Nothobranchius furzeri: one gene and its partners. The protein of the gene in region 1 purifies or fractionates together with the protein of each later gene. This does not show direct contact. Links are inferred from orthologs where the notes say so. Each region holds a gene or a part of one and is shown on either strand. Other genes may lie near its edges.

The links.
Region 2: the proteins of exosc5 (region 1) and hbs1l purify together in Homo sapiens (affinity purification with mass spectrometry; 3 studies listed by BioGRID and IntAct, with this or other methods). This does not show direct contact. The link is inferred for Nothobranchius furzeri from reciprocal best matches to the Homo sapiens genes EXOSC5 and HBS1L.
Region 3: the proteins of exosc5 (region 1) and dis3l purify together in Homo sapiens (affinity purification with mass spectrometry; 5 studies listed by BioGRID and IntAct, with this or other methods). This does not show direct contact. The link is inferred for Nothobranchius furzeri from reciprocal best matches to the Homo sapiens genes EXOSC5 and DIS3L.
Region 4: the proteins of exosc5 (region 1) and c1d purify together in Homo sapiens (affinity purification with mass spectrometry; 4 studies listed by BioGRID and IntAct, counting the BioPlex papers as one, with this or other methods). This does not show direct contact. The link is inferred for Nothobranchius furzeri from reciprocal best matches to the Homo sapiens genes EXOSC5 and C1D.
Region 5: the proteins of exosc5 (region 1) and mphosph6 purify together in Homo sapiens (affinity purification with mass spectrometry; 6 studies listed by BioGRID and IntAct, with this or other methods). This does not show direct contact. The link is inferred for Nothobranchius furzeri from reciprocal best matches to the Homo sapiens genes EXOSC5 and MPHOSPH6.
Region 6: the proteins of exosc5 (region 1) and zinc finger C3H1 domain-containing protein purify together in Homo sapiens (affinity purification with mass spectrometry; 3 studies listed by BioGRID and IntAct, with this or other methods). This does not show direct contact. The link is inferred for Nothobranchius furzeri from reciprocal best matches to the Homo sapiens genes EXOSC5 and ZFC3H1.
Region 7: the proteins of exosc5 (region 1) and exosc10 purify together in Homo sapiens (co-immunoprecipitation; 8 studies listed by BioGRID and IntAct, with this or other methods). This does not show direct contact. The link is inferred for Nothobranchius furzeri from reciprocal best matches to the Homo sapiens genes EXOSC5 and EXOSC10.

The regions. Positions count from the first base shown.
Region 1 is NC_091753.1:58,582,384-58,584,732, forward strand, and holds the end of exosc5 (exosome complex component RRP46), read left to right. Parts: coding exon 1-139; intron 140-1,466; coding exon 1,467-1,556; intron 1,557-1,657; coding exon 1,658-1,753; 3' UTR 1,754-1,849; downstream 1,850-2,349. UniProt on the Homo sapiens protein: Non-catalytic component of the RNA exosome complex which has 3'->5' exoribonuclease activity and participates in a multitude of cellular RNA processing and degradation events.
Region 2 is NC_091742.1:448,477-452,424, forward strand, and holds the start of hbs1l (HBS1-like protein), read left to right. Parts: upstream 1-1,148; 5' UTR 1,149-1,321; coding exon 1,322-1,364; intron 1,365-1,904; coding exon 1,905-1,970; intron 1,971-2,652; coding exon 2,653-2,784; intron 2,785-2,930; coding exon 2,931-3,182; intron 3,183-3,464; coding exon of another isoform or gene 3,465-3,948. UniProt on the Homo sapiens protein: GTPase component of the Pelota-HBS1L complex, a complex that recognizes stalled ribosomes and triggers the No-Go Decay (NGD) pathway.
Region 3 is NC_091749.1:66,618,705-66,622,686, reverse strand, and holds the start of dis3l (DIS3-like exonuclease 1), read left to right. Parts: upstream 1-1,182; 5' UTR 1,183-1,318; coding exon 1,319-1,448; intron 1,449-3,038; coding exon 3,039-3,189; intron 3,190-3,982. UniProt on the Homo sapiens protein: Catalytic component of the RNA exosome complex which has 3'->5' exoribonuclease activity and participates in a multitude of cellular RNA processing and degradation events.
Region 4 is NC_091752.1:37,833,640-37,837,843, reverse strand, and holds the start of c1d (nuclear nucleic acid-binding protein C1D), read left to right. Parts: upstream 1-1,404; 5' UTR 1,405-1,474; coding exon 1,475-1,497; exon of another isoform or gene 1,498-1,617; intron 1,618-1,789; coding exon 1,790-1,934; intron 1,935-2,873; coding exon 2,874-2,940; intron 2,941-3,375; coding exon 3,376-3,431; intron 3,432-3,513; coding exon 3,514-3,717; 3' UTR 3,718-4,204. UniProt on the Homo sapiens protein: Plays a role in the recruitment of the RNA exosome complex to pre-rRNA to mediate the 3'-5' end processing of the 5.8S rRNA; this function may include MPHOSPH6.
Region 5 is NC_091744.1:80,075,428-80,079,436, forward strand, and holds the start of mphosph6 (M-phase phosphoprotein 6), read left to right. Parts: upstream 1-1,209; 5' UTR 1,210-1,361; coding exon 1,362-1,409; intron 1,410-2,102; coding exon 2,103-2,215; intron 2,216-4,009. UniProt on the Homo sapiens protein: RNA-binding protein that associates with the RNA exosome complex. Involved in the 3'-processing of the 7S pre-RNA to the mature 5.8S rRNA and play a role in recruiting the RNA exosome complex to pre-rRNA; this function may include C1D.
Region 6 is NC_091744.1:80,026,363-80,030,558, reverse strand, and holds the start of zinc finger C3H1 domain-containing protein, read left to right. Parts: upstream 1-1,396; 5' UTR 1,397-1,540; coding exon 1,541-2,084; intron 2,085-2,584; coding exon 2,585-2,986; intron 2,987-3,107; coding exon 3,108-3,250; intron 3,251-3,380; coding exon 3,381-3,795; intron 3,796-3,951; coding exon 3,952-4,148; intron 4,149-4,196. UniProt on the Homo sapiens protein: Subunit of the trimeric poly(A) tail exosome targeting (PAXT) complex, a complex that directs a subset of long and polyadenylated poly(A) RNAs for exosomal degradation. The RNA exosome is fundamental for the degradation of RNA in eukaryotic nuclei.
Region 7 is NC_091755.1:29,805,560-29,809,059, reverse strand, and holds part of exosc10 (exosome complex component 10), read left to right. Parts: intron 1-20; coding exon 21-211; intron 212-323; coding exon 324-480; intron 481-1,191; coding exon 1,192-1,340; intron 1,341-1,475; coding exon 1,476-1,526; intron 1,527-1,615; coding exon 1,616-1,727; intron 1,728-1,806; coding exon 1,807-1,854; intron 1,855-1,940; coding exon 1,941-2,016; intron 2,017-2,595; coding exon 2,596-2,687; intron 2,688-2,771; coding exon 2,772-2,864; intron 2,865-2,945; coding exon 2,946-3,014; intron 3,015-3,096; coding exon 3,097-3,202; intron 3,203-3,269; coding exon 3,270-3,343; intron 3,344-3,500. UniProt on the Homo sapiens protein: Catalytic component of the RNA exosome complex which has 3'->5' exoribonuclease activity and participates in a multitude of cellular RNA processing and degradation events.

The DNA of each region.
Region 1 (2,349 bases):
CCTGTCCTGCTGCCTGAATGCGGCCTGCATGGCTCTGATGGATGCAGGCTTGTCCATGAGCTGTCTTTTCTGTGGAGTGACGTGCGCCATCGGTGCGGACGGTGACATCATCGCAGATCCCACAGCAGCTCAGGAGAAAGTAAATCTGAAAGGAATTTGAAGCAAATACTGAGACTCCTTTAGTTCTTTTCAGGTTTTAATTGATGCGAAGCTCTGATGAAGACGAGCCTGTAGAAAAACAGCTCCCAGGAATTCGGCACAGACGACCCCGGTGCAGTCGACATCATTTCAGCAGACCACACATCCATCCGTGGTTAAAAACCTGTGGGTGCTGACCTTTACTTACTTCACCTGCAGAGTTTCTCTCTGGGCCACGACTACATTTCCCAGGGAGTTTCCAAAATATCTCAAAATGTTTGCGAGAGGTTCTTAGCTTCCTCCTGAGTCGCAGGGCTTCGCACCTGGGTCTCTGGGTCTTTGTGGGTGTCCTGGAAGGATTCTGTTTAGTTTCTGTTTGAAATGTGAGACAACTTTGGGAGGAACCTGAGAAAAGACCTGAGAAGGCACGTTGTGACCGACTGGAGACCGAAAAGAGAGCATCCAAGCAACAATAACGAGGATAAATCACAAACAAGTTAAAGAGCAAGTCACCCCCTACCATACAAAACATACACACACACAGGCTCACAACGACATTGTGACATCATATGGTACCAGCTAACGTTCCAGGGTACCTCTTAGCCAATAGCGACGGCAGATTTAAATTCAACTGCAGTGCAGAGTTTTTACCTGACAACGGCACAACACTGACAGTTTTAGACAGAATATTTCAATTTTTACTAAAATGCATAAAAGTGCAAAACTGTTGATGACACGTGTCTGCAGCACGATTAGACACGCGTTTATATAGTTTATCAGAAAAACAAGCTGATTTGGGGGTGACTTGCTCTTTAAAGAGCAAGTCACCCCAAATAACCTTTTTTTTTGCTGATAAACTAAAGAAACGAGTGTCTAATCGTGCTGCAGACACGTGCCGTCAATAATTTGTCACTTCAGTGCATCTTAGTTAAAATTTAAATATTCTGCCTAAAACTGGCAGTGTTGTGCCGTTGTCAGGTAAAAACTCTGCATTGTATTCTAATTTAAATCTTCCACCACTATTGGCTAAGAGGTATGCTATGATGTAAACTGGTAGATTATGATGTCACAATGTCTGTGTGTGTGTATTTGTTAGCAGCTCCGCCCCCTTGGTCTGCCAGGCAACAGCATTTGTTGCATTTTTCAAACATGAAGTGGGAGTGGAGTTAGATTCTGGTAGGGGTTGACTTGCTCTTTAAGATATTTTAGGAAATACACAAAGTGTTTAGTGTGACTCAAACAGCTCATTTGGTAGTTCTGGGCCTCCAGCTGGTTGCTAATGGTAACAGCGCAGGCTAATGCTGACCTTTTGTTTTTTCTTCCGTAAGGAAAGTCGAGCGTTGATGACTTTCGCCATCGACAGCACAGAACGAAGAGTGATGATGTCATCGACCAAAGGTTCATTTTCGGTCCAGGAGGTGAGCGATGAAGCGGGCTGTGTGTGTTTGTGTTTCTAATTCCTTTACGGCTTCCTGTTCGTTCCTCTGACTCCGTCGTTTGTCTTTCCGTTCGTCCACAGCTGCAGGAATGTGTAGCCGTCAGCCAGAAAGCATCGGAGAAGGTCTTCCAGTTCTACAGAGACTCCGTGAGACGGCGCTACTCCAAAAACCTCTGATTCCCCCCCCCCCTTCCAAGTCTTCTTTTAATAGAAAGCATAAATATTCAGTTTTTATTAATTATTTTCAAATAAAAAGAGAGGAAAATCTTTTCATTTAAGTGCATTCATTAGGATTTATTGATTTAATTCAAATATTCACACTTGAGAGTGACCGAACCTCCGTCTGACTGACTCGATGGAAACGCCTTCGGGTTAGGGTGGATGGAAACCAGAGCGACAGGAATCTTTTATTTGTCCCACGACGCAACAAGGTTTGTTTCTGTAGGATGTTGAAGACGTGCAGGCACAGTGGAGCTGAATCATCTGACGAGAACAAGATGTCCTCCGCCTTCGTATGACAAAGCCAGTTATTTGTAGTCGGCTATGAAAACAGAACTGGGTTCTCTTTTCTGGACCGGGGGTCTCGTTGATCAAACGTTGCGTAGCATCCTTACTAAAACGTTCCATCTTTCCGTTCTTTTAAAAACAGAAAGGTTTTATTTACCTGCAGCGTTTCGTTTGCGGCTGCAAACTTTGTCAGAGCTGACGCCGATGGTGGCGTCACTTCCTACGTCGTTTATCCGCGGGCAGCAGAGGACGTTGTCGCCCTCTGC
Region 2 (3,948 bases), on another chromosome or scaffold:
CTGTCCAATTCGTGATTATCCATTAATAATAATCCACTAATACCTCTCTCTTTGAGTTTATCTCCAGAATGGAGTCATCACAGGCATACACAATGAGTGTAGCCGTGGCTCTCAATTCATCTGTGTAAAATAGAAATCATGACATTTGATACAATTTGAAAATTTTTTAAACAAAATTACGAACCATAGCATCATTCTTCTCTACATTTTTATGATATTTAGACAGAATTTGTTTCAGAGAAACTCCACAAGCCGTGCGACACAGGAAAAAAACACTATGGTGACCGCAGCAGTCGGATGCTAAACTCTGTAGCTGTTTATCTTGATATTGTATTCTTGAACAACGTAGTGCTAAGATAGCAGGAAAAAAATATGTCAGTCTAGATTGTGTATGTGAGGTGTTGTGAGCTCAGATGGGCTGTTCTTTAACCATGGGGCATAACCTTTGACAGGATGATTGTTGACATTTGCACCCTTCTTAGACGGGACATAAAAGTGTGTTGCATGCATGATGGATCTGTTAAGTTGTTTCTACGACTTGCTGAAAAGAAAATGCTCGCTACTTTTTTCTGCATCTTCTTCTCTTCATTGTTTGCTCTCACTTGATGGCAGATTGATAAGACCTGAAAATGCAATTTCTTGGAAAACTAAATTAGTTTGTTGGAAAAACGATGATAGAGCTGAACATTGCAGTTTTGTAACAAAATTTTTTTAACTGATCAACAAGTCAAAACAACCGTTTCAAATCACATATTGAAACAGGTGCGTAATTATTTTTAGTAGAAACTGTGATGATTTTTTAAATTCACAGATGATCCCTACAATGAACACAATCTAAAGTCATAATAAGTTAAATAAAGGTTGATAATCGAAGACATATATTTAGCTCGTTGTTTTTTATGATTACTGTCTCCGTATCAAATTAATTTCTAAGCTGTATTAGTTTATTTGTCCAAAATTAGTTTGTAAATATTAACTGACCGTGGGTCCGTTTGAACTGCGCCCACTCAGAGCCGCTCCTGTCAGTAGAACTGATTCCAGTACATACAGGAAGTGACGTCAGCGGAAAAATCTTGAAGTTATCTTTTTTTAACTTTAATACGCATTTTGAAAATTTGTATGATCCGTTGTGAAAATATAAACGTTAGAAAACATTTTACATTTAGCTTAGTTGTTTTCGGTGCTGCTAAATAAATCGTAATTCGTACACTCGTTGTTGAAAACTACACAGGAGCAAACTCAATGGCAGCCGCGGTGGTAAACACATGTATGTGAGCTGAATAACATCTACACCGGGACCAACAGAGGACAGAAAGACGAAATGTCTCGCCACAGAAATGTTCGAGGTTACAACTACGATGAAGGTAGATTACTTTAGTCAGTATTTGTTGCTTCATTCGTTGCCTTCAGACTGCTAAACACCTTAGCCGCTAGGCTAAAATTAGCTAGCTAACGCTAGTTCGACGTTCACCTGCCAAAATAATAATGCTGTCGTGTCATTTGGCACCAAGAAAAAAAAAAAGACAAATTACACCTCAGTACCGGCGTTTATGTGCATATCCACTGATTCAGGTGTTAACGTAAAAACCTGAAATCAATGAAAACAACTTGCATGATAATAAATGTAGCGGCTGCTATTCAGTGATTTGTTAGAAAGCTCTAAACGCATGAATTGTACAAGTTTCATCTAAGACAGCTAACATACACTCAACGGTTACGGTTCTCAAACCGGAGTAATTACCCGGCGACCATCATGCTAGTTAGTTTGTTGCGGATTTTTAAAATTGCTGACAAGGCAGAGTGACATCTGGCACAAAGCACTCTGTAACAATGATGTAAAGAAATATTTGGCAAATGATTAAAAGCACTTATTTGACCTTGTTCTTTTGTATATTTTTAATCAGATTTTGAAGATGATGACATGTATGGACAATCTGTGGATGATGACTACTGTATATCACCAGCAACAGGTTGGTTTCCAGTGACTCATTAAGAGGAAATACTGTATTAATAAAGGACTGGTTTAGTTTCCTTCTGAGACCCTTTCTTAAAAATGTCCAGTAACAGATTTTAAAGTCTTTACTGTAACTAAAGTGACCAATTACTCTGATCAAAATGCCAGCCAGCCAAATAAAACAACCTATTCTAATAGGTCTTCCCATGTTGCCAAAACTGCTCAAATAGAACAAAAGATCGATATTGATCACCTCTTCAATCTCTGGTTATCAGTCACCTCTGAAAAGAATGATGAAAAATCAAAATGTGACCTGTTTGTATTTACATGTTTTTTTCTATGTAGCATTAGTAAAATTCTGCATGGACACAACTAATCTGCAGCTATGTCTATAACTGAGTCAAGTTAACACATTATGGGCTAAAACTTTGTTGTTTGATCTTCAGTCAATCCAATTAAAGTTAATCGAAAATTTCTAATAATGAAATGGCTTCAGTTTAGTCAGTCTTGAAGATATTGAGCGGTAACTCCATAATTTGTCAACATGGGATGAGGATATACTCCGACATGAAAATGATCAGACAATATGCGTTTCTTTAAAGAATGCTGGGTCTTTGATTTTTCATCTTTTGGCTGATGCTGTTGTGTATTACAGGTTTGCAGTCAGCACTTAATTAAACAAAATTTTGTTCATTTAGCTAATCAGTTCATTTACTCACGTCGAGAGCGACAAGCCCCCAAAGAGGAGCCTTTAGAGGAGGAAGAGTATGAAGTGGAAGATGTTCACATGTCCCCAACAGCCGACCACAACCTTGACCCTCTTAATCAAGGTACTCTTTTTATTTCACTGCAACTACAGACAAAATGTTTTTGGATTCTTGTGTATACATTTTTTATGTTTTTACATATGATTGATCCTGCTGAATCGATAGTTTTTTTCGAATATATTTTTTCTAACTCCCATGTTTCGTTCTAGCTAAGCTGTATTCCTGCCTGGACCACATGCGGACCGTGCTCGGAGACGCAATGCCAGACTCGGTGCTGACCCAGGCTGCAGTCAGACATGGGTTTGACCCGCAGAGGGCATTGGATGCAGTCCTGTCTGAAGACACCAAAACGGCCCCGGTTACCAGAAGTGCAAATGAAGAGATGACATCAGTCAGTAGAGTTTGTCAAGAGACGACGCCTCTTCCACAAAGAACCAAGCAGGAGATTGTGGCTGAGAAAGGTACGCCTAGAGTGAATCAAACCTGAAGTTTTATTTGTTTTAAATATTGGAAATGAGTGAAATCAGATAATAATCATTAATTCTGTATGCTTAGCACTTTATCACTAAGAGGGATTTACTACAGGCTCTATTGATGACACATTTCCATCATGCATGTGTTTAACAAAGTGCCTTGTTACTTTTTGTTCTTGCTTCTTAAATGTGGTGTGATTCATCACTTCTGCTCATGTGATCCTCTCGTCCCTCCTCTTCGACAACTTCGCTTGGCTTTCGTAAGGTAAGGAGCCTGCTTGTCTGCTTCTCACACAGACACTACATCCACGGCACATAAACAAACACAACCAAGTGCACGAAACCTCTTATCAGCGCTCGAGACCGGGCCTGCAAGTAGCAGCTGTGCAAAGAAACGTTTTCAGCTTGAAAATGCTCATGGAGGCGTCGGCGGCAGCACCAGTTTGGCTCAGCTCATGTGTGAGCACGAGCGAAAGAGTAAAATGAGCGCAGTTGATAACAAGTTTTGCTTAGATGTTTCATCATTGAGTGTAGCTTCCAATTCATTGCCGACTATTCCTAATCAGAGTAGCCTATCACTTGGAACTCTGGCATCTTTGAAAATGTCCTCTGAATCTAACACAGCAGCTCCCTCCATCCTTTCCACTTCACTCAATAACCTGTCACTAAACACCCCCAAGGTGAGAAGCTCCACTGTAGCTCCTCCTCCTGAGTTTGGAAGTCTCAGTTCTGTTCCGCATCCATCGACGGCCGA
Region 3 (3,982 bases), on another chromosome or scaffold:
CTTTTTAAAATTGTATATAAATGTAATATCCTCTGGTGGCAAGAATAAGCTCACGGAGAGTGGGTTGTTCTTTGGGAATATTTATTACTCCAACACAGGTACAGCCATGCTTCCCGGCAACGAACTTCCGCTTGTCTAATGTTAAAGTACACCCCACTTTGCATCCAGAACACTAGGTCCACCTAGAGGCTTCCTGTAAAATGTTTAACCTCTCACAATACTACAATAAATTCATCACATGAATCATAAAAGATTTGCTGTTTGCCACAGAGGGGGGAAAAAAAGTGCTGATGACAGAATTTCCTGTTTAGTATTCTAACCAGAAAAGGTGTTCAATACTAGGCTAGTAAAACTAGACCAGATTCCTCCCTTTTAAGTTTAAATACAAATAATATACTTATTTAGTCTGGCTTGCCAGGCTAGTTCAACACAGATACCTTTAAGCAAACATTTAACTGTTTTGTGAACAATTTTTTAATGTGAAACTTTTCCAGATAAAAGTGTTTTTAATCAACCCCTAGAACATATTTTGTAAACGTCGTCTTTTTGTTTATTTCAGAAAATTCTGGTAAATTCAAAAACCTTTTGAAAAACACCTGAAGAATTTCTGTTTGCGGGACAGAAGAGAATCCATGAGTTTTCTTTTGTCCGACAGTACATGAACGCAAAAGGACAGCACCAACCGTGGCTCCGACTCTCTCAACACGGAAACAGGTGTTGTGCCGAAAGGAGCATGCCTGCCGAAATGCGTATCCCCATGAAATAAGCATAGAGGTAAACTAGAATACTTTATGAGCGACGAGGCTAACACGCTTCTGTTACGTGTTTTTCGTGAAAGCGTTTTGTTTTTGTTTACAAATATGATGAAATAGTTATAAAAAAATTACGTTTTTGAACGTTTGAGAATAATGTTTTAGTGAGCATTTTTTATGTATTTTTGTGCTTTCTCCCAACTATTTTGTTGTTGGTTCTTAAAAAACACACGTGACACAAAATTACTCATTTTAAAATATTTATTACTACTTTATTACTATTTCTTCAAATAAAAATGTTTTAAACATAAATTTCTTTAATTTATCTGCCTACAAACGATCTTTTTGTAAGGAATCACGCAGATAAACATAATAATATTACATTAATAGTACTTTTTAAGCGCCTTTCCACAACGGGGATGCACATTTCGCCAGGCATGCTCTTTTCGGCACAACACTTGGAGCTTCCCTCTCACAAGTCCGCCAAAACATAGTCTTCACTTTAAAGTTCCGGTTTGTAAACTTTGGGTCAGCGGCTGCTGATCCATTTCGGTTCAGAGTTCGGGATGATTAAAACCGAGAAGATTCTGCACCTGAAGAGTTACCGAGGCCGGAGGGTTCGGGTGGTTCGGGAGCACTATCTGAGGGAGCGGGTTCCCTGCTTCAGCTCTCTGTGTCAGGCGGCCTGTGCTAACGGTAAGTCCGCCAAAACACACAACTAGTTGCTAAAAACACACAAACAGCCGTTTAAAACACAACTAGTCGTTACAAACACAACCAGTCTATAAAACACACTACTAGTCGCAAAAAACAAACAAAAATAACTAAATAAACCGGCCGATAAAACACATCTAGTCGCTAAAAACACAGCCAGCCACTAAGAGCTAACGAGTGTTTTATTTCCAGTCCTTCATTTATTAAACCTTTATTTATTTTTATTTAACCAGATGAGTCGATTGAGAGCTCATTCTCGTTTACAGAGATGATCTGGCCAAGATGCAGCAGCAACAGACACATAGTTAGCTTTACACTAAAGAAAAACAGATAAGATAAAAACATACAAGATAAAACAGTTAGACATAAAGACAAAGGACTGTTCTATTATATAATATGTACCAGCGATCCAAACAGACTTAAAACTGTCTTTAATGTGCCAGTGTGTATTTTTCCTGGTTGATGGGGAGCAGTAGACACCTAAAACATTGCAAGCAAGCAGCATTTTTGTGTTGGAGTAAGACCTTACCAACGGATGCCTATTAGGGTCAAAAAGCCCTGAGGAGTGCAAACTTCAGGAAAATGACAAGCACATCAGACCTCCTTTCATCAGTGGCAACAAGTGAAGAGATAAATGTGTAAAACAATGTTTATTAATAGTGAAAGTTTTATAATCGTTTGTTACTAATCAGTAAATGCATGGACGTAATTGGGGGGGGGGGGGGGGGCATGTCCCTCCCCACTTTTTCCAACGTCAAGTTTTGACCCCTGCACATTTTACCATCCAAAAACAATATTACGCTATACTAAATTGACACTGGTTGAGCTCTAGGACCAAGCAGAAACCAACCGTTTGTGTTGAGACCTGTTTCCCATTAGAGCATACTGTAAAGATTTTTTTTGATTCATTTAAACAAAATTTTGCTTTAAACTTCATTTTCTCCAACAGATTTAACAAGCAGATTGGTTAAACTTGATTTGATGACTCGGACTGGAGCTGTTGGGCTGCGCAGTGGTGCAGTGGTTAGAGCTGTTGCCTTGCAGCAAGAAGGTCCTGGGTTCGCTTCCCGGCCTGGGATCCTTCTGCATGGAGTTTGCATGGTCTCATTTTGCATGCGTGGGTTCTCTCTGGGTACTCCGGCTTCCTCCCACAGTACAAAAACATGACTATTAGGTTGATTGGTCTGTCTAAATTGTCCTTATGTGTGTGTGTGTGTGTGCATGATTGTTTGTCCTGTGTGTCTCTGTGTTGCCCTGCGATGGACTGGCTCTCTGTCCAGGGTGTACCTTGCCTAATTGCCCGTTGACTGCTGGAGATGGGCACCAGCCCCCCCGCGACCCTACATGGACAAAGCGGGTTCAGAAGATGGATGGATGGATGGATTGGAGCTGTTGGTAGACTCACATTCTTGTCCAACCGAACGTTAGAGGACCGATATAATTTAATATTTGTATTTTCTCTGATGGATTTATTATCACAGGTAGATCAGTGTAACAGAACATCTGATTTCTGTATAAAACAGTGAATATGTTGTGTGTAGCCATGGTAACGACCTGATGACCCCTCAACAGATGGCAAGGTGTTGCCCGGAGACTTGACCCACTATGTGGTGCCGGGGGTGGAGGTGGTGGTCAACTTCCTGGAGATCCTGGAATTCAGGGAGCTGCAGGGAGTCATCTTCACCCAGACGGCCTGCCAGGCTCTGCAGAGTAAAGGGCGCAGGTACAACACACACAAACACACACACACATAGAGGGTGAAGTGGGTTGTCTGAAGAACTCCAGTCTACCGTCTTTTTTTATTCCAAAGTGATGGAGAACATCTCATAAGTTTTCCTGACAAACCATTAGCAGCTGGTTCTGGTGTGTGTGTGTGTGTGTGTGTGAGAGAGAGAGAGAGAGAGAGAGAGAGAGAGAGAGAGAGAGAGAGAGAGAGAGAGAGAGAGAGAGAGAGAGAGAGAGAGAGAGAGAGAGAGAGAGAGAGAGAGAGAGAGAGAGAGAGAGAGAGAGAGAGAGAGAGAGAGAGAGAGAGAGAGAGAGAGAGAGAGAGAGAGAGAGAGAGAGAGAGAGAGAGAGAGAGAGAGAGAGAGAGAGAGAGAGAGAGAGAGAGAGAGAGAGAGAGAGAGAGAGAGAGAGAGAGAGAGAGAGAGAGAGAGAGAGAGAGAGAGAGAGAGAGAGAGATCGGCTGGCGGGATGATGTAGAGTGATATCTGCTGTAGGAAAATGCAATCAGCAAGGGCACAAAAACAAAACACGCTCAAAGATAGCGACAGAGCTCGAGACTAGGTCATATACCCAAACGAGTTAATCATCCGACGTCGTGTAGGTCTCAGACTGCCCCTCATATAGCCAGCCGGTGATTGCAGCTGAGTGGCTGCAGCTGGGCAGTTCTCCGGCACCGCCCACCTGCAGGAGAAGGGTTAGTGTGGGGAACAATATACCTCAGGCCATGACAGCTTGACCTTCTCTGGAACCGAAGCCTTTAGGAAAAGCAGCGGTTGCCGTCCGACCAGACC
Region 4 (4,204 bases), on another chromosome or scaffold:
TTGTAAGTCGAATAAACATAAACAATAAACATAAATAAAAAAACAAAACCCTTTACAATGAAATGAATCTTTAATTGAGGCGTAAAAAGGACATTTGTGAAGATTTATGTATTCTGGTGAGTGATTTTTACATTTTATCTGGTCACAAGGACAGATTATGTGACATCAGATTCATATTTGGGATAAACTATCATACCTGTGAAATAGCACCATCTGCTGAACAGACTGAGATCTCCACAGAAGTATCCAACATTCAGGGGAATTGGTTCTGAGCTGCTTTGCCCATTTACTGTTACTTTTATAAGACTGTCTGGAACCTTGGGAAGGGGCCTTACCATATTATAATAAAAGGGAACCATAACCATAGAAAAATGTTACTGCAAAGTTAAAAACAATCTATTATATTTTCAAGTGAATTTGAATACACATAGCCACCAAGAAGCATGGATTTACACAGGTAAAATGGCTCATTTCTGAGTAAGCATCAGACAACAGCAGAGATAAATCCAGAAAAGTCTTTACTCACCGGTGTATGCATAAACTTTGGGTCTGAAGGGCCAGATTAGTGAGCTCTGCAAGCTTTGGCGAGAGCTTAGAGATTTCCACTCTGTATTTTTTTAGCGTGCCATCCTCAGCAACAACCTCAATTTCTACTCTGTTCAGCCCATCTTTCAGTTTAACAGTGCTGGGGCGGTAACCAGACAGCTGAAAAGACAGATTCTGAAAGGGTTAATAGGAAAAAAATTGACAAGAATTTAAATAAAAGCTCTCCAAACACGCAGGAGAGTACTTACAATACTGTATGATGTTCCACAGTCGCTGGTGCTCAGGCCCAGAGTTACTTTGTTGACATTGCTCCCCACAGTCACTGGTAGTCTGTGACTTCTGGTGAGAAGATGGAGCTCACCATCAGAGACTGAGAGCTTTTCCAAATCACAGTTGTCCATGTCCAGCCTTCACTGCTTGAGAGCGTGTGCAGCCAAACCCTAAAAGCACACCAAACAAGCTCATTTAGCATGCTGACGCCCCGGGTTACCATGGTAACGATGGCCTCGGCTCTAGTTTTACTTTCTCAGTAAATGTAGATCTTTCTTATTAAAGTGATACTAACTCACTTTAAATGAACTGACTTGGTGTGTAGTTATTTATTTAGTTAGCAGGATATAAAAACGCTAACGTGAATGGCAAATATGATTAAATTACAGCAAAGTGATACTGAACCTCTCTGTAGCTGATGATAGTTAAAGGTTAACGTTAACAAACATGTATGGTAGCTATCAAAACCTGTGTCAGTCTCGTGGCGTCTTATTTGCACATTTTAGTTTAGTTTTACCAGCAAATTCGGAGATTCGAATCACGTCAATTACTCCGTTTCGGTGGGTGGCGGAAGCATCAAGCGTTGTTCATCTACCATCTTTAAAAGGTAGAAGAAGAAACTTAAGGCGAAGAAGAACATCGTTCCTCCAGACAGCAGATGGCAGAAGAGAGCAGAATGGGGTGCGTGCTCTTTGTTATTGAACGCCATTTCCTGTCGTTTTAAAGCGTGTTTCGTTCTAACAAGGTAGATATAAAGATTTACAAGACGTTTGCCTGTCTGCTCATACTGTTTTGTGATAAGTAAGTTAATCTTTGATGACTTTTCCTCCTCATTTACTGCGCGCGAGGACCCGTAGATTTGATGGGGAAGCACCAGCCCAAGCTAGTGGCTATAAATGTGTCAGAGATCTGAATGTTTGTGTGTCCGAGTTACAGCGGGGATTTATGAGATCTTATTTTTACCGTTTTACAGGAAAATGGCAGCAGAAAGCAGGAGCCTCGAGGACTACCCGTACGAAATAGACGAACAGCTGACTACTTTCGACTCCTCCGTTAATGCGGTGAAAACCATGCTGGAGAAACTGATGTCCATGTCCAGGAATGATCAGCTGGAAAAGGTACAGCGAATGTAAAGTGTCGGATGGACAATCTAAAACAAGATTACGGAACTATATTAATAATAATAAGGCAGTGTGCCCCGCTTGGTAATGGAACACAGTGACATTGCCACATGTCAAAGTTTTTCTCAACTTATAATTAATACGGAGAGTCTCAATCATGATTTATTTTATTTTTTCAGTCCTTGATACAGATCTGAGTCATTTACATCTGTCTATATGAGTCCTAGGATGATCCCTGCTCATTTTATCTACTTTTATTTATCAACAGTTGATCACAGATCAGTTTGTCTCATTCCTGCTAATGGATTTTTTAATATCACAAGTTTATTTAACTAATTTATGAAACACTGACGCAAACAAGAATTACAGCCAGGATAAATAAACACCAGCTGGTATTAAGAGACATTTGAACAGCTGACACTGTTCCTAAAATGTGATTCAAACTGGGTATTGAGTTTTGTTCATTCATGTTCAAGCAAAGCATCCCATGTTGAACCTGATCAAAGCTGGTTGACATAAAAACTTTAAACAGTAACTTAATAAAGTTAAAGTCCCATTAGTCGTCACACACTGGTGAAAGTCATCCCCACATTTGACCCGTCTCCGTGGGGAGTGGTGAGCTGCAGCTGTAGCTGCGCTCGGGAACTATTGGGTGGTTTAACCTCCCAGTCCAACCTCTTTAAAGCTGAGTGTCAAGCAGGGAGGTATTAGGTCCAATTTTTAAAGTCTTTGGTATAACCCTACCAGGATTTGAATCCCGATCTCCCAGTCCCAGGGCGGACACTCTACCACTAGGCCACTGAGAAGGTAATATAATATTAGAAATCACAAGCGGCGTGTTGGGATACTGATCCACATGGATTAGTAAAAATACTTAACCGGTTTAATTGATGTTAAATAGAAAATGTGATGCTATTTTTTCCTAATTTTCCACAGCTTGATCCTTTGGACCAAGCCAAGTTGGATTTGATGTCTGTCTACACTCTGAATTCATTATTCTGGAGTAAGAAATTTCCTTTAAAAATTACATCATATATAAATGTTTCCTGGTTTCCTTATATATAATATAAGTAGTAATATAATGAACTGACCTGTATTTACTGTGTGAAGTGCCTTGAGACGACCGTTGTCGTGATTTAGCGCTATATAAATTTAAATTGAATTTCCATTGCTTGTAACTCACATAGTCATATCAGAAAGCGTGGAAAGGTAGTTACTCGGATGTTTGTTAATTTAATGAGCATTAAATTTCCAGCCTGAATAAAATGTTTTTTTTTTTACCTTCTAGTTCTGTTTATGAGCTAGGCATGGACTTGTTCCGGGTGTTTATTTCTTTTTCAAATATTTCTATTAATATTGTAGGATCAATGAAAATAGTTATGAAAAACTATCATGCCCCTGTAGAAAAAGCAGTCTTAACTTTTGTTTTTCGTTCTAGTGTACTTGGTGACTCAAGGAATAAACCCAAGAGAACATGGGATCAAACAGGAGCTGGTGGGTGTTTCTTCTCTGTGTTTTCATGCTTTTCTCTTTTTTTCTGATGGTCTAATCTCCATGAATCATCCCTGTTCATCAGGAACGAATAAGGACTTACATGAACAGAGTCAAAGAGATCACTGACAAAAAGAAAGCTGCTCGTCTGGATAAAGGAGCTGCTTCACGCTTTCTCAGGAACGCGCTTTTTGATCCGGAGAGCAAACAACCGAAAAAGGCTGCTTCTAAGAAACCGGCCGACGCAACTTCTGACATCTCAAACGCAAAACGCCCAAAACAGAGCTGAACTTTAGGATTTGCTCAGCAGACACTGATATTTGGACTAAAAGGCATTTTGATGGCAGTTTTTTTTTTGTTTCTTAACCAGTTGGTGTTGAAGAAATCAACATTGTAACAATCTTCTCTTGTTCACTGGGAGACAAAAAGAACTTTTCTCTCCTGGAGACATCATCTGTGATTGTGTTGCATCTCTGACAGCAAGTGGTCAAGATTCACATCAGCTTATCTTGATATTGAAACATGACTTTATTCAAAAATATTTTTTTAATTTGAAAATTATTCAATAAATCAAAAGTTGTGTTTTTGCTGAGTTTGTATATTTTATTGGCCAACAAGTTTTAGTTTATTTGAATTTTTTTTAGCATTTAAGCCAAAAACTGCATCAAAAAGTTGCTTATTGATATTTCAGCTGAAAGTTGTCTTACGCCACTCATTTTTTATAGACTATATTTTCAAATGTAACATCAGGTGCAGCACATTTGTAAAAGAATAAA
Region 5 (4,009 bases), on another chromosome or scaffold:
GAGTCAAATTCTATGTTTTAAGCTGAAGGTGGAGCTATACTGTGGTATTTAGGCAGAATTTTTAATTTTTTAAGAAAATGCACCAAAATGCTAAAATAATGAATACACACATTTAAAACACTATTAGACACTCATTTATACAGTTCATCAGCAAAAAAAAGTTAATTTAGACGTTACTTGCTCTTTAAGTTTGATCAGAAGTTGCTATGTGTATTGTTTATTTGAAAACTATTTACAGAGCAGCCTCAGAGTTGAGATTAAATGTTTTTGATCACAATAGTAAAGGAACTATTACAGAACAAGTTTTTCAATAAAATCAGAACATTAATATTTAAGTGCATGAATTAAGAGAGAGAGAGAGAAAAAAAGATCTTTTCTATAGCGCCTCTCAAGATAAAAATCACAGGGCGCTTCACAAAAACAAAACATGTAAAATAGAAAAAAGAATTTAGAAAATGATTAAATTAAAATGAGCAAAAAATAGACAATTGTGATTAAAAATGTAAAGAAAGAGAGAGAGAGTGAATAGGAAAGAGGGAGTGGATCCTCCTCAGGAAGAGGAGAGAGAGAGAGGGGGGGGGAAAAAGAACCCCGACTGGAGTGGAAGCAGTGACATAAGAATTAAGTCACACAACGTTTTCCACAAATGCACACGTTCATTCGGAAAGCCACACTCTTGTGTTTCACAAATATAATTCGGAGGAACACAAATGCACAAGCTCATTCGGAAATTCACACTCTTTGACTCATAAATATAATGTGAAAAAATAAGTCACGCAACATTTTCCACAAATGCACACGCTAATTCTGAAGTTCACACTCTGTGGTTCACAAATATTATTTGTAAGAACACTTGTAATATAAACTCACAGATCATCCGAATTGCTGAACGTGCATTTACGAAAAGCTTCTCATTTGTGAACCTTTCTGCGTTTGTGAGTGAAATCTGTGCGCTGAATTTTGGGGGCTTGTCTCCAGCATGTGTTACCATGGTGAATGGGAGGGGCTTCAAGCTAGCCACATTGGTCTTTAAATTATTGTTGGCTAATGTGTTTCGGTTTAAACAAACAAACATATAAACTGAAATAATTTACACAAATTCATCTTCGAGTGTTTTCACGGTCATGTCCTTTTATCTTTCTAGAAAAGGTTAGATGACCAGGATCCAATTCGAACAGCTGCTCGTGTTTGATTCATCATCCTTAACATCGACCATGCATGCGCATCAATGTTCGATTGTTTCAGACTGTGGTGAGCGCTTAGCCCAGTGGCTAATGCTAAGTGCTGATTGTTAGATCTAAACGAGTTCGTTTGAATGAGTTCGGATTTACTTTAAATTAGTATAAATTAATCGGCACAATATGGCGGAAGATTCATTCAAACTGTCAAAAAACCTGCTGCGGATGAAGGTAAGCGTTAGCTGCTAGCTCTGCGCCGAACGTCATTGACTAAACAGAAATGAACGTTTGATGTGTGATAAGAAGACGCTAGTTTCCTCCCAGATGCTGACTCCAAGCAGCGTTTATCACCCTGAAACTGAACTTGAATTCGGGGTAAAGCAACGAGACGAAGCGGATTTAGGCGTGTTTCAGAGATGTATCTGATCTCTGTGAACCCGTGGAGGAGCGGGATGTGCCTCCTTCATCTGGACCACTCTGAACCAGGACCGAACCTGAGAGAAGATTCTACCAAAGTCCAAAAAAATCCGAACCACAGCTCACAAAAAGCCAGAGCTTCTGGTGCAATGATTAGAATCTTCACTCCCAACACGTCCTCCATCCTGAGCAGCACCACGCAACGTCCTACAGAATCAAGTCCAGGATGGACCGACTGGTTCTGGGAGACCTGGTGGCCGCCAGAGAGGAGCCTGGGAAGGGAAAGCTGTGCCTCTTGTTTTACTGTTAGAACCTCTAGGAAGGAACCAAACTTGCTGCTGCCTGAGAACCAGGAGTTGTGGGAAGAGAGAAGATTTCTGATGGAAGTCAACTTTAGAAGTTCTGGATCTTCCAGGAAGCTGATGATCTTGGCAGCATTGTTGTGGACCTGGCTAACGGTGGTTTTGGTTGGGTCCAGATTGAGTAAATGTGTGCTTTGTGTTTCAGTTTATGCAGAGGGGACTGGATGCTGAGACAAAGAAGCAGCTGGACGAAGACGAGAAGAGGATCATCAGTGATGAACACTGGCACCTGGACCTGCCGGAGCTCAAATCTAAAGAGTATGAGAACAGGAATCCCACTAGCCTGGCGAGCCACGACCCATAGACAGATCTAAATAATGGGGTGGGATCTACGTTTTTTTTTTTTTGTTTTCCAATAACATCCTGCCTACTTAGTGTTGCGATTGGTCCATGAAATCTATATAGCGCCATGATTGGACCACTACAGAACAGCAGCCATCTTTATTTGTAGTTTACCTGGCTGATACCTATGTTTGGACAGTTTCGAGCGGCAGCCATGTTTGTTTGCAGGGACATCCCTCCCACCTCGCTAAAAGAGCACTGTGATTGGCCCAACAAACCAGTAAAACACTGATTGGAATGCCACGGATGTCAGTCAACGGGGCAGCCCGCCGTTACATTAAAAAAAAAAGTAAAACAGCGCGCCAGCACTAGCCTGGCAAGCCAGACTAAATAAATGTATTATTTAGGCAGGATGTTGTCTGAAAACTCAAATTTTATTGATCCTATTTATCTTAATAATTCCCACAAAACTAGATGGTACTAGATTAGTAGTAAAAAGTATTGGTATTGGGCGGCAATACTAGCCCCTGTATTTACTTGGTATCGGATCGATACCAAATTTTGCAGTATCGTACAGCACTACTGACTAGTCGGCGGTCAGCCGCTCGTTTGAAATGGCTTTGGCGTCAAGTTTGGACTATTATGACTTTTTAGCTTTTGTTTGAGTCAAGATCAGATAGAAGTACTAACGTTTATTTAGGAAAAGGATGTGTTTTGCATCTTCTTTGACGGAGTTTGGTGGACTGCCTCGTTGACCGACATCTGTAGCGGTGAGTAAATCAATGCTTGCCAGGCTAGAAGAAACGGAATCGATACCATCACGCAGGTATCTAGTAAATACTCAATACCAACGTTAGATCGATACTATCGATATCTTAGCTCGATCCGCCCAGCCCTATTTGTCAGTTTTACTGCCTCGACGCTCCGCAGCTACAACATGGCCGCCGCCTCCTCTCTTTCCATTCAATGTTTCTGGTAGCAGCGGTAAACAAGGCTTTGAAGTATCGCGCAAATTCATTGTGACTCGAGACATGTGAGGTTTGTCTTATTTTACTTACTGCATTATGAAAGTAAACAGCGCGTGCACACACACACACACACACACACACGTTTATTTGTCAGGACGGCTCTCCTCCTCACTGCACCTTCGCTCGGCCAGTGCTTCTTCCCCGGCTCCTCGGGCCCCGCCGCCGCGCTGATTTGTTTTAAAGAAAAACAACCTCAAAAGTCATTAGATGGTTACAACCTGTCTGTGTCTGGTCATGTGGGGCCTTTCCCTTTTTTTATTCTGTCATGAGACTGTGGCCTAGTCCACACGTAGCCGGGGTTTTTTAAAAACGAATATCCGCCCCTCCAAAAACTTGCATCCACACCACCTCGTTTTAAAAACAAACTGTCCACACGTACCTGGATAAATACGTTGTTAAGGACATGCCAGACCTGTAGGCGGCAGTACTTTCCCCGTTCTTAACCTCGTCCTTCGTCTGTGGTCTTCCGCAAGGAGCAGTAATTCCTCTTGCAAAAACAAACAAGCAGAAAGCGCTTGGACAATTGATAAAGCGAGCGCAGCTCTGAGGGCATCCATGCTGTCGGCTAGTGTAAACACAGGTCGCACACGTGATGTCAGCATTGCTTTGTCGCAGAAAGTGACGTTGCGGACCTTAAAACTCCGGTTTTGTCCGTCCACACGCAGACACCCAACACGGAGAAAACGCACATCTTCACTTTGGCCGGAGTTTTTTTAAAAAGATCAGTTTTCGTGTGGATGAC
Region 6 (4,196 bases), on another chromosome or scaffold:
TTAAGCTGTTTAATTGGACCAAGCATTTTAGGTCACAGATAGATGTAGCTTAGGGTCTCTGTCTGTACACTTATAAGACAATTTAGGTGATGGCATGTTGTTTTTCTTCTATTGAACTGTTTTCTAATAATGTTGTGTTAAATAAAGTGAAGGAAGGAGAGAAATAACGTTTCCCTAGCAGTTTTTAAAAATTTCCCCATGTAATCCGATTAATCGATTAATCGTGTCGAGACCCCATCCGAATCATCGATTATCCAAATAATCGTTTGTTGCAGCCCTATTCTTCGTCCTTCTTATGTCTTCTTTGCTGGAATGTAAACACCAGAAGCAAGCGTACGACCTTGGCAATTTATGCACACTGTCACTGTGTCAAAGGGCAGCTGTTAAGGGCAGAAATGGCATGTTCATAACGCTACACTGTAAAGACTCTGACACTAGTCAGTGACTCGATGCAACCTGCTGGGTTCCTTATATAGGAAAGTTTTTACTGATTGGCTTAATGAACTGAACTCAGTGCACTTATAAGTAGGTTCATTGGAATGTTTGCCTTCAAACAGTGTACGTTTAAGATTTGGTGCTATGTAAATATGAACTGGTATGCTAATTCAAGGGAGCCTCAGTTTTCTGAGCTGCTCTGTGGGACAGCCCTCAGGGCAGAGGAGATAGGCTGGTGTTGTGGAGAAAAATGTTGGTGGTGGGTGGGTGTTAGAGGAACAATGATGTAGAAATTGGTGTAGCTCCTCAAAATGTTGTTCTACCTTCCTGGTTCGTTAATTTCTGATTGGGCAAGAAGTAAGCCACCAAGTTGCCTTATATTTCAATCATCCACACTTTATTTACCCGTAATGCATGGGGAGATTCTGCCACCTCCAGTTCCTGTGACAAGTCTGAAGATTTTACAAGATGCCCAACTTTTTATCCTTTCTCTCCTGCAGTTTCCTGCTGACACCTCCCTAGCTTTACTGAAGGCCATCACCCGTTGCCTTGGTAACTGGCACTCCTCTCTGCACTCACTCCCTGCTTCCTGTCCTATCTTCCCTGCCAAGGTTGCGATGACCCTTTGCCCTGGCCTTGTCCCTTTGAACAGCTTTTAGATGCTCTAATCTGGCCTGTTGATAATCTCCTTCAGCGTAGCCTTAACTTGTAGGACATGTGTGATCAAACAAAGCATACGGATGATTCACCGTAAAAATGAATATGTGAACGTTACATATGTGATCAGTCGGGGTTTCCGCTGCCCGCCAGGCTCGTGCTATCGGAAGAAACGCGGATATTTTCTTTAGTATCATTCTGGTCCTGGTGGTGGCGCGAATGCACCGCAAAGGTGTTGACCAACCGCAATAGAAAGGGGGAAGAAGAAGAAGGTGGCAAAGTCTCGTACAACAAGCTTACATCGCGATAGTTGGGGCTAACATTCCAGCCTCTGTGTGCTAATTCCCGTATCTGTCAGAGGACCTGGAGAAGACGGAGAACCAAGAATCCCCGCGCCCGCCCGTTGATCCACAGCACAGCAAGCTGGCCCCGGTACGTTCATCCCGACATGGACCCAAACACTGCCCATCGGTCTCTGGCGGAGGACGGCGAGCTCGAAGACGGTGAAATCTGCGACGACGAAATCGAAGAGAGTGTTCCGGTGCGGCGGGGGGATGGGAGAAGGCCGCGCGGCGGCGCTCGTCCCCGGCCAAGAAAGCCGCACAAACAACCGTACATACGACCGCTCATGGACCACTCGTTGCCAGATTTCAGCCTCCGGTTGCCCTACAACCCCGGACCTCACCTCCACGGCCCGTTCCTCCCGAACCACCGGCAGCTATGCGAACAAAACGTTCCTGAACGACCTCCTGTTCTGCCCGCTCCACTCGGGATGTCCATGCCCCAGTCACCTGGACCTGGTCTGCACTGCGAGTCAAGCCCCCGATCCAACTTCTGGGAGCGGAGCCACGGGGCCCTGGGACGGTTCAGGCACCGAGTCACACCGAACGGTGGACGCGGGTCCTGGATTCGAGGCGGTCCGGGTGGGAACAGCAGAAACCCCCCCTGTCGCCACGGACCGGGAGAGAGTCACGGGTCTCCGTCAAAGAAACGTATCCTTGTTTCCGTTAGCGAGTCAGGCGCTGCGTGGTTCCTACTGTGTACACAAAGCGGTACAAGTGGTAACGTGTGTGACGTGTAATACTGTAATGTGTATGTGTGTGTGTGTGTAATATATGTGCGTGTGTGTAATCCTGTAATTGTGTGTGTTACGTGTGTGTGTGTGTGTGTGTGTAATGTGTGTGTGTGTGTAATTCTGTAATGTGTGTGTGTGTAATATATGTGCGTGTGTGTAATCCTGTAATTGTGTGTGTTACGTGTGTGTGTGTGTGTGTGTGTAATGTGTGTGTGTGTGTAATTCTGTAATGTGTGTGTGTGTGTTACGTGTGTGTAATGTGTGTGGGATTTCAGGTGAATAGTTAATTATCAGAACTTCTTCAACACTTAAATATTTGATCTGCTTTCATGTAAACTTCAGGATGCGTAAAAGTTTGTTGTAATCAAATTTAATCAGGATTGATGAAGTGGGACTTTTCCTGACTCGAGCCTCCAGAGTGGCCTTTAGGGAGGATTCGGGTCAGGAAAGTACCGGCCATTTTTGACAGAACCGATACCAGTATGGACGAAAGCTTTGAGGACCTTCTGACCAAATACAAACAGATCCAGCTGGAGCTGGAGTGCATCCGGAAGGCTGAGACAATGGCGCTGGAGCCAGAGTCTTCTCCAGTTTCTGAAGGCCCTGCTGGTGCTGCTGGTACTGGTGCTGCTGCTCCGCCAGACTTCAGACCAGAACCAGAAGGGGCTCCTGAAGGGAACGATCAGCAGGACAAGGATGAAAGGAAAGTGTTCCAGGCGTTCAACATCAAACCTCTGCGTCAGAAACTTCCTACACCTGCAGAACTGGACCAGCTGCACATCAAGTGGGAGGAGCAAGAAGCAGGTGGTGGTGCTGAGGGTGAGTCTGGATGATGACAGGTACTCGAGTTTACCTGTGAGTGAGTTTAGTACCTGATGGTGGACTGTGGTGTTTGAGATGTGGGCTAGTGAGTCACACTTCCTGTGTTCTGATTCATCAGAACCCCCGAGAAGCTCAGAGGCCCCGGAGTCGGAAGGACCTGGTTCTGCAGAGTCTGACAAAGCCAGGAAACATCAGGAAGTCAACCCTGCTCCCAGCGAATCCTCTGCTTCCAGCGAGGACTCGACAGTTTCACCTGACAAGGTGAGTTCTTATGGTCCACCATCCTGCAGGTTCTAGATGTTTACCTGGTGACGCAGGAAGTTGTGTGCATGAACTGGACTTCCATGTTCTAAACCCAACCCAGTAATGCTAGTACTCTGTTGTCTCTCAGCCTCCAGAGAAGATAGAGGAGGAGGAGCTGTCAGAGCTGCAGCTCCGCCTCCTGGCTCTGCAGTCGGCCAGTAAGAAGTGGCAGCAGAAGGAGCAGCAGGTGATGAAGAATAGCAAAGACCGGATCACTAAAGCCTCCCAGGACAGAACCTCCAGCTCCACTTCTAGTTCTGGTTCTGGAGCAGCGGCACCGGACAAGCAGCGAGTCATCACCAGGTCTGCTGCTGCTGCTGCTGCAGCTGCTGCTGCTGACAGGAGCAGGACCAGGTCCAAAGCAGCAGACAGAACCACGACTGGACCCAGACAAGCTGACCGAGACCGAACCAAACAGAGTCCAAAACCTGGTCCCAGAGTCCTGCCTGACCGGGCCAGGACTCCAGGAAGATCTCACAACACCAAGAGGCTGATCAGTCCAGGTGAGACCAGCCGTCCAGCAGGTAGAGGAAGAGGGCGGGGCCTGTGTGTGAGAGTTCTTTTGGGATTCGGCTGTTCATTGGGTTGGACCACGGGTTGGGGTTCTGGTTCACCCACCAGAACCACTGATGGAGCTGTTGTTTACCTGCCTCTGCCAGGTCCTGCAGCCAAGCAGGCCTTCAGGAAGCAGCAGCTTCACACCTGGAAGTTGCAGCAGCAGAGGAAGCAGCAGCAGGAGGAGGAGGAGCGCCGCAAGCGTGAGGACGAGATCCGTCGAATTCGTGACCTGTCCAACCAGGACGAGCAGTACAACCGGTTCATGAAGCTGGTCGCAGGGAAGAGGACACGAGGCAGGGTAAGAGCTCTGCTCCAGGTGTGTTCAGGTGAGAGCTAACAGTGCTAA
Region 7 (3,500 bases), on another chromosome or scaffold:
GTTGGTTTTCTGTTCTGCAGGTGTTCCACGGCGCTGATTCAGACATCGAGTGGCTCCAGAGGGACTTTGGTTTGTACGTCGTCAACCTGTTTGACACACATCAGGCGAGTCGAGCTCTCAACCTGGCCCGACACTCCCTCGACCACCTGCTGAAACACTTCTGCGACGTGGACTCGGACAAACGTTACCAGCTGGCCGACTGGAGGATCCGGTGTGTTGTTAACTGGACACATTTTTAATCATTAATCAACAAGAAAATGTTTATAATAATATCTTTTGAAAGCTGAAACTCAAAAAGAAATTTGTATTAATTGTCCTTGCAGCCCCTTGCCAGAGGAGATGATTCAGTACGCTCGGTCAGACACCCACTACCTCCTTTACATCTACGACTGTGTGAGAGCGCAGCTTTTAGACAGCAACCACGGGCAGCCGGGACTGTTGCAGTGTGTGTGGAACAAGAGCCGAGACATTTCATTAAAGGTTTGCTCAAACGTCTCTTACTCTCACATGCACAAGCGGTCTGGAGACTTCTGTCTAAAGTCCATGTTGTTTTGCATCATTTCTGTTTGTTCTGGTGTGCTTTTATTATTTTTCTAATTGACATTATCTCTAGGGGTGGAGTGACATTTTGTTGTGTTTTAAATCTAAGAACTTTGTCCAAGCCGAGGGTCAAATTTTGCTTTTTTTGCAAAGGAATTCCCCCGATTTTCTAGATGTTTTATGTCAAAATCTTCATAAAGAAAATATGCATCGCTTTATTTATTAATATAACTTAGATGCTAAGGCAAGCATAGTTGTTTTTTTTTTTTGTTAGTTTATGACTGCAGCAGCAGAAGGAAGCTTGTTCCAGTGCATTCTGGGATTTTAAATTCTAAATGGGTTTGGTATTTTACAGCTACAGGCTGTTTACATTAAAATGATATTAAACATGATTTCACAGATTGGTGTGTTATAAATGTTTTGAGTGTCAGGAAGGATGTCCCATAAATTCAGCAGCAGGGATTGTGATGATACAGATACGACACCAGTCTGTCTAAACGTAGCATGTAAAACTCGCCCTGGTGTCTCTTTCTAGTCCTGGTTGTTGCACAAAGTTGTTCTCGTTTTTATCACCTGCCCACAGTTTTCTCTTTTACCTCATGTCACGTGTCTCCTTCCCCTGTGTGACCCGACTCTCTCCTTTTTAAACAGAAATATTTGAAGCCCATCTACACCGAGGAGTCTTATTTAGAGCTGCAGAGGAAGCAGAAAAAGTCCTTTAACACTCAGCAGCTCACTGCCTTCAGACTCCTGTTTGCCTGGAGGGACAAGCTGGCCAGGCAGGAAGATGAAAGCACCGGGTAAGGCTTTGTGAAGTGATGTTCTATCATAGCGGCTTATTTATATTAGGAGTGTGTGTGCACAGTCGGCAAAGAACCAAATATTAATGCTCCTTCTGCTCCAAGGTGTTTAAATGTGATTTTATTTGTGTTCAGATACGTTTTGCCCACCCACATGATGATCAAAATATCAGAGGAATTACCCAAGTAAGTCCAGTAGATTTTACGTTAAAATCACTGCAGAAGGTAATTTATTATAAATAACTTTTGTGTTTTTATTTGTCGGGCCTCCTCAGAGAGCCTCAGGGCATCATCGCCTGCTGTATCCCCGTGCCACCGCTGGTGAGGCAGCAGGTCAACGAGCTGCATTCATTGGTGCAACAAGCCAGAGAAATGCCCCTGCTGAAGGTGAGGAACCACCGATGCTCTGCGCTGTCACTGTGCCTGAATCTGTCATGGTTTGATGCGTTTGTCACTTTTCACACAGGCTGAGATTGCAGCTCAGAAGAAGAAAGGACTCACGCCCGTTAGGAAGGTTAGCTGAAGGCTGAATGGGCGACACCAGCAGCTACAGACAGCCACCATTTGGGGAAAATTCATGTTTTGTTTTTTATGTTGCAGCCAGAGGTCTCTTTGTTTGGTCCACATGATGTGTCCAAGGTTTCTGAGGGTGAAGTGCCACAAGTTACAGCTGACGGTGAGCTTGACAGTTACTGTGCTTTTTCTAAGTTTCAGTGAAAAACAGGGTATCCGCGGGTCCTTAAAAAGTCGTAAAAAGTCTTAAATTTGCTTTTCCAAATTTAAGGCCTTAAAAGTCCTTAAAAATGACAAATAATCCTTAAATACAGTTTACAAAGGTCTTAAATTACCAAAGACCCAATAAACAAGATTCTTTTATTTCTAAAAAAAATTCGTGAATTTCTAGTTAGTGTTCAGCATTTTTTGTGTACGATGTTGGCATAAGCGGAACCGTACACATTCAGTGAAAGGGGACTATTTTTAGATGAGCACATTAGCTGGTTAAGCTAGTGGGAGCCTGCGCCATGGGAAAGTGCAAGTTTAATGGTAACTGGATGGCTAATCCCACGTTCGCGACGTTCCAGGCAATAGCTGGAAATCATAGCTTAAATTTAATTTCAAAAACAGCTTAAATTTGGTCAAAGTGGCCTTAAAAATGTCTTAAAAAGTCTTAAATTTGGCTCCCTTAAACCTGCAGATACCCTGGAAAAAGTGTTTCAGGAAAGATTTATTTATTTATTTGTTTTTTTTTTTTCAGAATCATCTGTTAAAAAGGGGGTCCTGTTCTCAGAGGATGTTGATGAGGAAACAATCCGTCTGTCGGCACCACCTAAAATAACGCTGTTCCAGGTAGCTCTACCTATTTTACTGCATTTTATTCAGCTTTTGTTTATTTGTTTTTTATAACAATGCGTTTTTTTTTTCTTCCTGAAGGAACCAGAAGCTCCTAATGACCAAAGATCCATGTCTGTCGCTCAGATGAAAGCGAGACGCATCATTGAGTCTTTTGAAAACCCTTTCAGAATGGTTAGAGGTGGAACATTTAACCTAATTCACATTTTTATTTAACTAACTGAATAATCGTGTATCTTCCTCTTGCTATCCCAGTATTTGCCTTCAGCTGATGTCCACGTCAACAAGAACGCCAAGTTTGACCCATCCTCAAAAATATTTGAGGTGATCGAAGCCCTCTGTTGATTAGTGCTTAGGTTTTTTTTCCTGTTTGGATGTTCATGGATGTTCTTTCTTATTTTAACAGATTAGCAAGAGATGGAAACTTCAGAGTGTTGAGCAGCAGCAGAAAGAGCTGGAGGCCAAGAAGAAAATCAGAGAGGAAGCAAAACAACAAGCAAAGAAAGCATCAGGTAATTTGGTTCAATTATCCTTTAAATTTTTAAAGCAGAGTCACATCATTTGTTGTTGTTTCCACAGAGCAGCGAGCTAAAGCTAAACGGAGCTACCAGGAGTCCCTCCAGAAGGTCCCAACTGTGCGGCAGCAAGCAGCAGTGAGTTATTTACTCTCCCATTCATTTCCTGTTTGTTTTTACTTGATATGAAAGTCGTGTCCTTTCTGGTGAAGTAGAAATTTGTTTAGAAATTCAGCCCGTGTGGAAGTGGCCGCGGCGCCGGCTGCAGCGTCATAAAGACGTCGGTTTAATAGTT